3 linked regions of the Lonchura striata genome follow. The protein of the gene in region 2 interacts with the protein of the main gene of each other region in a biochemical or structural test. Links are inferred from orthologs where the notes say so. Each region holds a gene or a part of one and is shown on either strand. Other genes may lie near its edges. The genes, in order: LPL, LRP1 and DAB1.

Region 1 (3,745 bases), on a different chromosome or scaffold from region 2:
TATGGTTTTAAAAATGGAATCTTTGATAAACAACAATTTCCTGACATTATGCACCCAGAAATAGAAATAGTATTAGCTAGGTGCAAAGAAATTATACTGCTAGACTGTGTCTTCTATAGCCTACAGAGACATGCATGCACAGCAGCAAACATCTGCACATAACATCAAATATTTACCAGTGTAGTTAACTGGGCTAAATCTTCCCTCATCCGACAATCAGCATTAGGAACACCCTTGAATCTGTCATACTGAATTTCTAAGAGTTCTGAAGCAAACTCACAGTCAGCTGTAGTAAAGGGCCTATATCACAGAAATGGTTGTTGTTCAATTTGATCTACACTATAAACTGAAAGCAGACAACTGTGTGTTGCAATCCCAGGAAACCTACATCACAAGTCAGGTTACTGTTTAACCTTGCTGCAAAAACATTACAACTTCACGTTTATTTATATATTCCTCAATGGCAGAGCCCTGAGAGTATGTTCTGCTTCACTTCCCAGGTGGGGCCAGTGGAAAGGGCAACACCTTTGGAAAGCTACTGGGCACAAGTTCAGAAGCTGGGTAAGAACCTCCCAGCTCAAGTTTTGCAGCTGGCAAACTGCTGTTCTCTCACAGGGGTGTACACGGGGTGCCCACCCCTCTCCGTGGTACTCCCTGACAAATCTTTACTCAGCTGCAGCTGGGGCTCCTGAAACTCAATCCAGCAGATATCTAGCCATCCATCAGTCCCTCTGGAATATCTGGAATTAGCTGAAGACAAAATGCAAACACCGTCAGACTTTGCAGTAATACAGAGGTAAGGATGCATGAGAAAGTCCTATCATGCAAGTACTTCTGCACAGAGAAGATTCCACCAAACTTTTAGGAGTGCTAGTCATCATGATAATCTCCAGAACAACTTGAGGCTGAGAGCCTCACCTCTGTGCCTTCTCAAAAATGCAGTGTTTCTCGAAGGCCATGCCACAGCTGCCCTGGTATGTCTATCCCAAACACAAACCATAAAAAAAAGCCAGCAGCTCACATCACACAGCAGTGTAAATATGCTGACTCTGGATTTACAATGTTAAAGATAAGAATCTGAATGTATTTATAATATGTTTTTATCTTTTCCTGGAACATCAATGTTTTCTTCACCTAGAAATATTTTTCTATGTTGTTTTTTAAATACTCTGGATTCCTGGAGGGCTGGATCATGTGTTTTCTGTGGTTTCAAAAAACTTTTTACTGTGGTGTGCATGGAAAAGTGCGGAAGCACGGCTTGAATTGCTCTAGGATGAACACACAACCTGCTTTCATACAACCAATTCCTAAGAAGAAATAGTGAAATTATTAGTAAGTCTGTGGCAAATCAGTTACTGCAGGGATGAAAGCTTTCTCTGGGAAGATAGTTATTTTAATATATATAGCTTGGATACTGTGATGAAAACTGGTTTTGATTGTCTGTGATGGCACAAGATTGGATTCAGACCTAGAATACATTCCTTTTGCTGTACCATAGCACCCCATCCTCTTACTTTTGAATACTTTCTTCCCTTCAGCTTCCTTGTACACAAAGAAGTAACAAAGGTACCCACAGCATAAAAAAATGGCAGTTTATATATTCCAGTTTAGGATCACAAAGCAGATCTAGGAGCTAAAGCCACCCTTTCTTCTAAGGCCAGAAACTTTTAAAGACAGATACTATGTGTGGGAGATCAGCGCAAGAAAGTGAGCCTGTGACAGGGCACTGCTAACAATATTCTAAGAGGGTTTTTTTTTAAGCTTGAGGAATAGTGGTCTCCTAAATCTAGTCAATTTGTCCACAGCAGCTTCAATTACATTGTGATTAATTGAGAGAGCTTTAGTAAAAATCTAGCACCATTTGCACATCTTCCACTTCCTCTAGCTTGGACAGGATGTCTATGCACAAGTACAACAGGCAGAACGCAAACAAGTGAGCCCAGAGAGAGAAAATCACTCTGTTCACTTCTCCCCTAGTGGATCCTGCTCATTACAGGCTTAACTACAGCTTGCACACATTACCACGATAACAATGAAACTCAGCCTTGCCTTGTCTAGGAACAAGAACTTTACTTAGCTGGGATGCTGGGATAGATGAGTCCCACAGAGGAAGCCGAGGGATCTTACCGTGATGCTACTGCTGTGCAAATCCCCTGCTGGGGCAAGGGACTCTCGAAAGCCACCTTGTCTCTGGGAAGAAAACACACCCCAAACCTCAACACGTCCCGCCACTAGCCCGGCAAGCTGTGCCTGGGTTTCGGCTGGGGACCAGGCTCCAGGTCTCAGGGTCGCTCTCTAGCGCCTTCCAAGCCCTCTCCGCGAAACCCGGGTCCCGCAGCATCCCGAACTCCCGGGACAGCTTCACAAAGGAAAGTTGCAAGCTCCCTTTTCCCGCCACGCCGGCAGCGCTTCCCCCGAGCCCTCTCATCCCAAGAAGCAGCAGGCAGGCCCGGCAGCTCCCCGTGCCCCCCGTCCCGGGACTCACCGCCCGGAGCCGCCCAGCGCAGCCAGAGGCACACGGCGGCCAGCAGCGCCTTCCTCCACATCTCGCCTCCTGCCGCGGGACCAAAGCGTCGGCGCGAAAAGAAAAAGAAAATTTTTTTTTTTTTTAATTTAAAAAGTAAGTAAGTTTTTTTTTTTTTTTCTTTTTTTTCTTTTTTGTTGGTTTTTTTTTTTCCTCTAGCAACTTACGATGACTAAGCCAGGAGCGCGGCGCCGGAGTGCAGCGACAGACGGGGCAGCCCGGGGAGCGCCCAGCACCGCCAGCGCCGCCTCGGCCCGTCTTTATGGCCCGGGCAATATGCAAATATGCAAATGAATATGTAAATATGCAAAGAACCCTGCGCGCCCATTGGGCGAGCGCGGAGGGGCGGGGCCGGCGCTGCCCGGGGCGTGGGGCGGGTTCGGGCTCGGCGCTCCCGCGGGATGGAGCGGAGCGGGACGGGATGGGATGGGATGGGATGGCACGGCACGGCACGGCACGGCACGGCACGGCATGGCTCGGCGTGCATGGAGCCCTAGGCTCCGAGCCCTCCTTGGGCCTGGCTCCCACAGCCCTCCCAGAGCCCTCAGCCCCGCAGCCAGCATGCGGATCCCGCGTTTCACCCCCTAGGTCCTTCCTGCCTGTGGTGACCCAGCTCTGCGATGCCTCTGGTGGGGTCTTCCTTCCCATTCCTGCTTTTGCACCAGTAACCAGCAGCCAGCTGCATTTTCTGTACAGTGCTCGGCAAGGGGCCTTCTGCTGTTCCCTTGAAAAGTCTTTGCCAAGACTTTGTTTTGCCAGCACTCGAGGGGATACAAGTTTGGAGAAAATATTAATTCACTGGAGATTGCATCTGTGCTCCTGAGAAATAAAAAAAAATTGATTCCTTGAGCTCTTCAACTCTCTCTCCTCTCCTCTCAGAAATGTGGTTTTAACTGAGATCTGTGTTGGCAGCCACTGGGTGAAAGATCAGTTATGTAAGGACATTAATTTAATAACAATACCAGTTTTCATTTCATTGTGCAGTTTGTTGCCAAAGGCGCAGCTTCATAAAGAAGCTTATTACACAGGGAGTGAGGACTCCCTGGATTTTGCAATGTGAAGCAAATGCGATTCACTTTAAGGACGACATATCTTTTTCATACCAGACACCTTTGGAGACTAAAACATATCTGGTTTATATTAGTGAGATTGTTCAATAAGAGATGGCTGAAGTGTAGAAGTAGTACTGGGTCACCTTTCCTACTTTAGGTTCCTCTAAAA
Region 2 (3,745 bases):
GCACACGCATGGCAAGACAGGAAAAAACACACGGGAAAACACCTGGGAACACGCAGACACACGTGGGGACACCTGGGAGCACATACGGGCACACAGGGACGCGCCAGACCACCGAGGTGGCAAGAGGGAAGTGCTGCACCAAAACATCCCGGCCACCCTCAACCACAGGTATTTCCAAAACAGGAACAGGGTGATCCCTGCCTGCCCTCACTCCGCTCCTGGGGTTCTGCCACCACAGGGTGCAGGGATGCCCCACTCTGCCCCAGCAAGTGGCAGAGGACCAGGCAGACAGGAGCTGCACACCAGTGCCCTTTGTTCCCCATGGAAGAGCTTCCTGCCACCCCACAGCTGGACTTTGGCCTCCTCTTCTCCAGAAACAAGCAACGAGCTTCCAGAACCGCAAACAGAGGCTGTAAGTGTGAGGAATTGGCTCTCCAGACAAGGATGGGGACCTGCATCCTGCTCCCAGTGATGTCCTGGCCTCTCCCAGAGCCCCACTGTACCCAGCTGGGACAGTGGGAGACTTGCATCAGGAAAACCAGAGCCCAGCCAGGACCGCCAGGGTTGAGGCACCAGCTCAGGTGGCACCTTGGTGGCACATTCTGCCCCCTAACCAAGCCAACCACATCCTTGTGGTGCCTCCACATCCGCCACATGCCCCCACATCCTCCCACCCACAGCTTCCCACAGCTCCCAGCACCCTGAGGTGGTGGAACAGCACCTCGTTCCCATCACAGTCCCCAAAGGGGAGCCCCTGGGGAGGGGGACGTGCACCAGGAGGAAGGGGTGTCTCTGCCCCACTCCAGCTCCTGGGGTGTGGAGCCGAGGATGGAAGAACTTCCCTCCAGCTCATCATCTTTCCGCAGCCTGGTTTCCAAAGGCAACGCAGCTTATGCAATGAGCGATGCCTCCCTTCCGCCCCCACCAACTTCTGGATCCGCCGGATGCTCCGAGCCACCTCCGAGCGGGGACGATGCCTCCGAGCCCCCGTGTTCCCTGGAGGAGTGACCCCGGAGGGCTCAGCCGTGGCCACCTGCACCGCCGAGCTCACCGGGTGTGTGCCAGCGGCTCGATCAGCCCCGCAGGTGCCACCGAGGGGTGGCCGCAGGGTGCCCTGAGCTGCTCCGCTCCTGTCACCTCCCTCCAAGGGACACAGATCGAGTGTCCGCATCCCCAGCAGGGTGAGGAGGGGCTGGAGGATGGAAACCACAGGCTCCGGCCTCCTGCAGCCCCAGACATGAATCTGGGGCAGGGATCTGGCGTTTGCCCAAACCTCCTCCTCTTCCTCCATCCCTCCAACCCGGCGATGGGTCAGATGCTGCCACTGCCACGACACCAAAATCCCTTCTCCCGCTTTGCTCCAAGGTGGGCAAAGCAAATGGGACAGAAAAACCTCCTCCTAAAACAAAAAAACAACCCCCTCTGGTTCATCCATCATTCCAGCCTCTCATTTCACAAGGCCATTCCCGTGCAGACAGAGGGGAATCCGCCACAGGAAAGCCGAGACTCCCCCATTTCTCTGCTTTTGAAGGGGAAAAAACAGCCCGGCGCGTCCAAGCGCTGCGAGAACTTCGCCACGGCCGCCGGTTCCCGGCTGGAGCGGCTGCCAGCGCGGAGCACGGGCGCTGCCAAGAGCGGCCCCTCGCACATTCCCAGCCCGGCCGCGGAGCTGACGAGCTCAAGTATTTACTGAATAGATCAATAAAGGGCCGGGAACGCGACGTGCGCGGCTTGGGAACGAGCGGCTGGCGAGGAGCTGGATGGACCGATGGCGGGAGGCTGGACAAACCGACAAACGGACGCACGGACCGGGGGACGGACAGCCCCGGTGGCTGGATAAACCATATTCCCGGTGCCACCAGGCCCGGTCACAGCCAAACTCCGCAGCCGGGCGTCGCGGCTCCGGGAGAAGCAGCCCCGGTTATGCAAGAGGGGGAGCGTGGGGCGAGGCCGGGCTGTCACGGGCACCCCTGGGACCGGTGGGATCCCGGACCCGGCCACCCCCGGCACACCGGGACCGCCGGCCCCGGCTCCCGCAGCGGTGCTGAGCTCCAACTTTCCCGCTTGGCTGCGGGGAAAACTTTGGATTCCAGAGGAAAATGGGGATGGAGGGCGGGTGGGAGCCACGGGAACGGGCAAAGAGCGCAAGCGAGCGGCCCCCGCGGCTGCGGGGGGACGGGGCGGGGGGTGCACCGTGCGCTGCGGAGCGGTGCCCGGAGGACGCGCCTCCCCGGTCCGGCCCGCCGCTCCCCGCCGCTGCCCGGTTCCTCCGGTGTCCCCACGGCGCAGCGGGGCCGGGCTGCGCCCGCTCTGCTTTGTCACGGCGGCGGCGGAGGGGGGGGACGCGCAGCGCCCCCCGCCCCTCCCCGGCCCGGCCGAGCCCCGCGCCCCCGACAGCGGCTGCGGCGCCTCCCCCTCCCCGCCGGTATCGCCCCGCGGGGCTCCGGCCCCGCCGCCCCCCGACTCACCTTCGAGGGCGCGGGCGGCGGGCGCGGCCAGCAGGGCCAGGAGGCTCCCGGCGAGGGCCAGCAGCGGCCCCATGCCGGCGGCTCGGCGGCTCGGCGGCGGCGGCGGCGGCGGCGGCGGCGGCTGCTCACGCCGTGCTGCCCGTGGGGCGGCGCGTCCCGGGCCCGCGCACCGACATCCGCGGGGGGCGGGCGGGGGCGGGCCGGCGGCCGGGCCGGGCCGGGCCGGGGGGCGGGCGGACCCTCCGGGCTGGGCGGCGGCGGCGGCGGCGGCGGGGCCGGGGGGCGGCGGGGGATGGGGGGGTGGGGGGGGGTCTCTGCGCGCGCCGCCGCCGCGGCGGAGGGAGGGGCGGAGGGAGGGCGGTGATTTTGGGGGTGGGGGGCGATGGAGCGCGCGCCGCCGCCCGCCTGACGTCACCGGGCTCGAGCCGCCGCCGCCGCGGACGGGAACGGGCGGGGGGGGGGGGGGACACGCGCGTGGCGGTGGGGGGGGTCCTTACGCGCATGCGCGTGCGGTGCCGGGGCTGCGCCCCCCGGTGGGTGCGGGTAGGGACAGGGGTCCCGGGTCGGTACCGGTATCGGTCTCGGTATGGTCTGGACAGGGGTCTGGTTCTGGTGTCGGTGTCAGTATGGTACGGGCTGTGGTCCCGTACCGGTGTCGGTGTCAGTATGGTCCGGGCAGATGTCCGGTGCCGGTATCGGTGTCGGTATCAGTGTCAGTATGGTCTGGGCAGGGGTCCGGTGCCGGTATCAGTGTCAGTTTGGTACGGGAGGGCTCCGGTGCCGGTGTCGGTATCGGTGTCATTATGGTACGAGCAGGAGACCGGTGCCGGTATCGGTGTCGGTATCAGTGTCAGTATGGTCCGGGAGGGGTCCGGTGCCGGTGTCGGTGTCGGTATCGGTGTCAGTATGGTACGAGCAGGGGGCCGGGGCCAGGACCGGTGTGGCACAGGTACAGCGCTGCCGGTCCCGCGCCCACACGCGGTACCGGCCCGTGATGCCGCTCCAGCGCCCGGCCTGTCCCTGCTGTGGTGGTCCCCAGGTGCGGGGGAGGTCCAGCTCCCCTCTACCGACACCCGGTACCGGCCGCGGGTCAGAGACGGACGAGGCAGCAGGACCCATCACCCGCAGGGACAGCGGGACCCTCGGTGTCCTCTCGGGGCTGCAGGACCTTCGCTGTCCCCCAGGACTGGCCCTTCACCATCGCTAAAGGCAACAGGAGCCTCGCCATTCTCCCAGGACAGCAAAACCATCACCACCCCAAGGGCGGTGGGACCCTG
Region 3 (3,745 bases), on a different chromosome or scaffold from region 2:
GGGCAGGGACAGGCAGGGCAGGGACAGGCCGGGCAGGGCAGGGCAGGGCAGGGCAGGGACGGGACAGGCAGGGCAGGGCAGGGCAGGGCAGGGCAGGGCCGGGCCGGGCCGGGCCGGGCAGGGCAGGGCCGGGCAGGGACAGGCAGGGCAGGGCAGGGCAGGGCAGGGCAGGGCAGGGCAGGGCAGGGCAGGGCAGGGACGGGACGGGACAGGCTGGGCAGGGCAGGGCAGGGCAGGGCAGGGACGGGCAGGGATAGGCAGGGCAGGGCAGGGCAGAGCAGGACAGGGACAGGCAGGGCAGGGACAGGCAGGGCAGGGACGGGACAGGCAGGGCAGGGACAGGCAGGGCAGGGCAGGGCAGGGACGGGCAGGGATAGGCAGGGCAGAGCAGGACAGGGACAGGCAGGGCAGGGACAGGCAGGGCAGGGACGGGCAGGACAGGGACAGGCAGGGCAGGGACAGGCAGGGCAGGGCAGGGCCGGGCAGGGCAGGGCCGGCAGCCGGGCGCTGCGGGCCCCGGGGGCTTCCAGCGGGAGGGCAGCGGGCCGGGAGCCGCGGCCCCTCGCAGGGGAGCCGGGCGAAGGACTCCGGGCCGGAGCCGCCGGAGGGGCTCCCCGCGGCCCGGGCGGGGCGGGGGGCTCCGCTGCCGCTGCCGCTGCCGGGGGATGCGGTAGCGCGGAGCTGCAGGGCACCGGCGCCGCCTCCGCCCGCGCAGGCTCCGCGCCAGCAGCGCCGCAGCCAGCGAGCCCCGGGCGCGCAGCCCGCCCGCCGCCGGAGGAGGAGGAGGAGGAGGAGGAGGAGGAGGAGGAGGATGAGGATGAGGATGAGCATCAGCGGGAGCGGCGCGGCTGCAGGTAGGAGGAGGCGCGGGGGGAGCCGCCCCATCGCCGCCGTGCGCGGAGCGGGTCCCGGCGCCCCGCGGAGCCCGGCGGAGTTAACGCAAAGTTTTTGCGGCGGGAGGGAGGCGCTGGCGCGGCGGAGCCGGCGAGGAGGCGGGGAGCGATGCTCGGGCGGCGCGGTGCCGCCCGCTCCGCCGGCCGGACGGGCGAGCGGGGATGCGAGCGGAGCGGGAGCCGCGCTTCGGGGCCGTGCGCGGGGATTTAACACTGCCACAGCCGGCCACGGGCAACTTCGAGCCCTAGCGAGCATCTCCGAGCCGTGCTGGGAATGAACGTGAGGCACCGCTTCCTTTCTATTTGTGTGTGTGTGTGTGTGTGTGTGAGAGAGACTCCCGAGCAGGGTTTTCTCGCCATCCACCTCTGCGTGCCAGCCGGGAAGGGGCAACTTGAACCAGCTGTCCCCTCTTGGGTTAATATTTACAGCCCGAATAAATATTTTGTTGCCCTTCTACCTTCTTCTCGACGCCTTCTTGTAGTCGAGATGATTAATCAGGGATGTTAGTGGCCAACTAGGCATAACCTTGTAGAAAAATAATTATGTGAGGATATATGGGGTTTGACTAGTGATGTGATACAGAATACACCCAGATCTCGGTAGTTGCTTCCCCATGTGTGCACGTTCAGTGTGTTTTTGATTTTGAATGGAAATATAAGTGTAATGATAAACATGTTACTTCCAGGGGAAGAATGTTATTTTCCTTGCCAGTGAAATATACAGCAGCTTCAAAGTAAAATGTGCATATCTGTGGATATAGAGAGGGGTTCTCTTTTCTGGTCAGTCACTAAAATGTTTTTCTCCCTTTTGAATGTGGTCTTTCTAGTGGTGCTGGTTGCTTTGCATGTTTGGTTTGCAGAATGAATTTCATTTCAGTGCCCTCGGAGTCTCGAGAGAAGAAGTGCACTGCTGTGTCTTCTGAGGCTGGTTGTTTTAACTGATCTTGTTAAATAATGCTATTATTAAATGATGGCAAATTGAAGCAAATGTGTTTTTCATTGCCCACAAGTTGTGTCTCTGAGCTAAATCTCTTTTTATGGCTGGAGAGGCTCTTGCACTGCAGTATTACAATACAGCCATATTAAAAAGGTCCTTGGAGCAAATAACCCTCTAATGCTGCAGCTATGTTTTCAGTAGACTTCAGTAGTTCTGTGGGAAGTGATTATGTTGGATTTAAGGAATCTGGGTAGAATTGCTTGTGCTTTTTTAATTGTGGTGTTAAACTGCCTGTAGACGTTGGTGTAAGTGGTAAATCTAGACCCAAAATCTAAAGAAGCAAAGCTCCAAACCCAAGGCTTTATTTGTGATGAATTTTTTTTTTTTTTTTTGCAACAGGTTTTTCTGTTTTTTTTTTCTTTTTTTTTTTTCCTTTTCCTTCCTTCCTTCTCCCTTCAGTTGGCAGAGAGGTCTCCAGCTTTAATGCCTTTCCTTGACCAAGCAGAGTGCAGTGGGAGATGATACCATCATTCTCCTCTTGTATGGTTTATTCTGTCTCTGGTGCTGCAAAGAATGAAGGCGAGTCAGACTAGAGATAAAAGGGAGAGAAGATGCCTGAGGTTGACGGTGTTGGCAAATTGATTGATTAAGGTTTGTTCTGAGGAACCCCACTAGATTTCAGGTGGTTTCTTTGGGATGTCCTGCTGAAAGCACAGGTCAGCATCTATCCTTCAGTGATTTCACACCAAATTCTCTGGTGTGTGCTTGGCAGGTGTGAAAAGCAGACATGGAACTAAGCTTCTAATGTCAATATTTGGTGCTAAAAGATTAATTTTGAGCAGAAGACAAACAGTTTGGTTACTTTTCTTTAACTACAGCTCTTCATTACTGGTTTTTGTTTGCTCTAGTAAACAAACCCATAGATCTTAAAATTGAATTAAGTGTATAAACTGCTTGAACCAGAGAGGGGAGACAGACTAATAAATAAAGAATTAAGCTATTGTGCCATTGACTGGCTGATTACAGCTTTGGCCTGATCACTCAAGCAGTGCTCCAAGCAAGCTCTCCATGCCCAGCACTGTTTTTTCTGGATTGGAGGATGGGAACGCTGGTGGTGACTGGGGGGTGATGTCTGCTTGACTGACAGACACTTATTGCAGAGTGGCACTCACTGCTCTGTAATTTTGCCTCTGTAATGATTTTCCCCAGAGAGCTGACAGAGAATTAAAACGTTTATGATCAGGTTTTTTGGAAGGGTTCCTCAAGATGCAGAGAGGAGGGCAGGGAAGTCCATCCATTTTTAGATCTTGCTAATCCCTTGTGTTGTTCCTGTAGTCATGCTAATTTTTATTGATTGTCATGGCAGTAGCTGTTTCAGAGCACAGAAGTGGAAATGTTTCACTTCATTCAGGGTAATCCTAAAAAGAAATCAAAGTGGGAAGGAAGGAGTGGCTGAAAGAGTTGTCTCACTCCAGTCTTTTCTTCAGGTTGTTCATGAAACAAAGGCAATAAACAGTTCGTGCACTTTTGAAATCCAATTTCTGTGAGAGGACTAAAGTTTCCATCCTGTGTTTGCTGTAAATGCAATATAATCTTGACACTACCTATCATAAGGATGCAAACCTCAAAGTTCTCCTGCTCAAGCCCATTTCTCCACTGGAGCAAAACCATGGGAACAGAGGAGTCTGTGGTGGAGGATGGATGTCATATCCCATGTGGATGTCAGCTGTGTGCAAAAGGAGCTGAGCTGGAGTCAAGGCTGGCACCCAGGCAGCAGATGACAGAAAAGTGTCATTGATTTCTGGTGACCAGCTCTAATCAAACTCATGTGTGTGCTGAGATCAGGAACACGCTCTGTGCTTCTTTAACCATCTGATGGTGACCTAAAAATCCCTCTGTGATCCATCTGTGCTCA

The links.
Region 1: the proteins of LRP1 (region 2) and LPL form a complex in vitro, tested with the Homo sapiens proteins (3 studies listed by BioGRID). The link is inferred for Lonchura striata from reciprocal best matches to the Homo sapiens genes LRP1 and LPL.
Region 3: the proteins of LRP1 (region 2) and DAB1 form a complex in vitro, tested with the Homo sapiens proteins (2 studies listed by BioGRID). The link is inferred for Lonchura striata from reciprocal best matches to the Homo sapiens genes LRP1 and DAB1.

Annotation. Positions count from the first base shown.
Region 1 is NC_134642.1:5,368,383-5,372,127, forward strand, and holds the start of LPL (lipoprotein lipase), read right to left. Parts: upstream 2,566-3,745; 5' UTR 2,547-2,565; coding exon 2,486-2,546; intron 1-2,485. UniProt on the Homo sapiens protein: Key enzyme in triglyceride metabolism.
Region 2 is NC_134629.1:5,766,198-5,769,942, reverse strand, and holds the start of LRP1 (prolow-density lipoprotein receptor-related protein 1), read right to left. Parts: upstream 2,563-3,745; 5' UTR 2,542-2,562; coding exon 2,469-2,541; intron 1-2,468. UniProt on the Homo sapiens protein: Endocytic receptor involved in endocytosis and in phagocytosis of apoptotic cells. Required for early embryonic development. Involved in cellular lipid homeostasis.
Region 3 is NC_134611.1:7,734,973-7,738,717, forward strand, and holds the start of DAB1 (disabled homolog 1), read left to right. Parts: upstream 1-972; 5' UTR 973-1,173; intron 1,174-3,745. UniProt on the Homo sapiens protein: Signaling adapter of the reelin-mediated signaling pathway, which regulates the migration and differentiation of postmitotic neurons during brain development.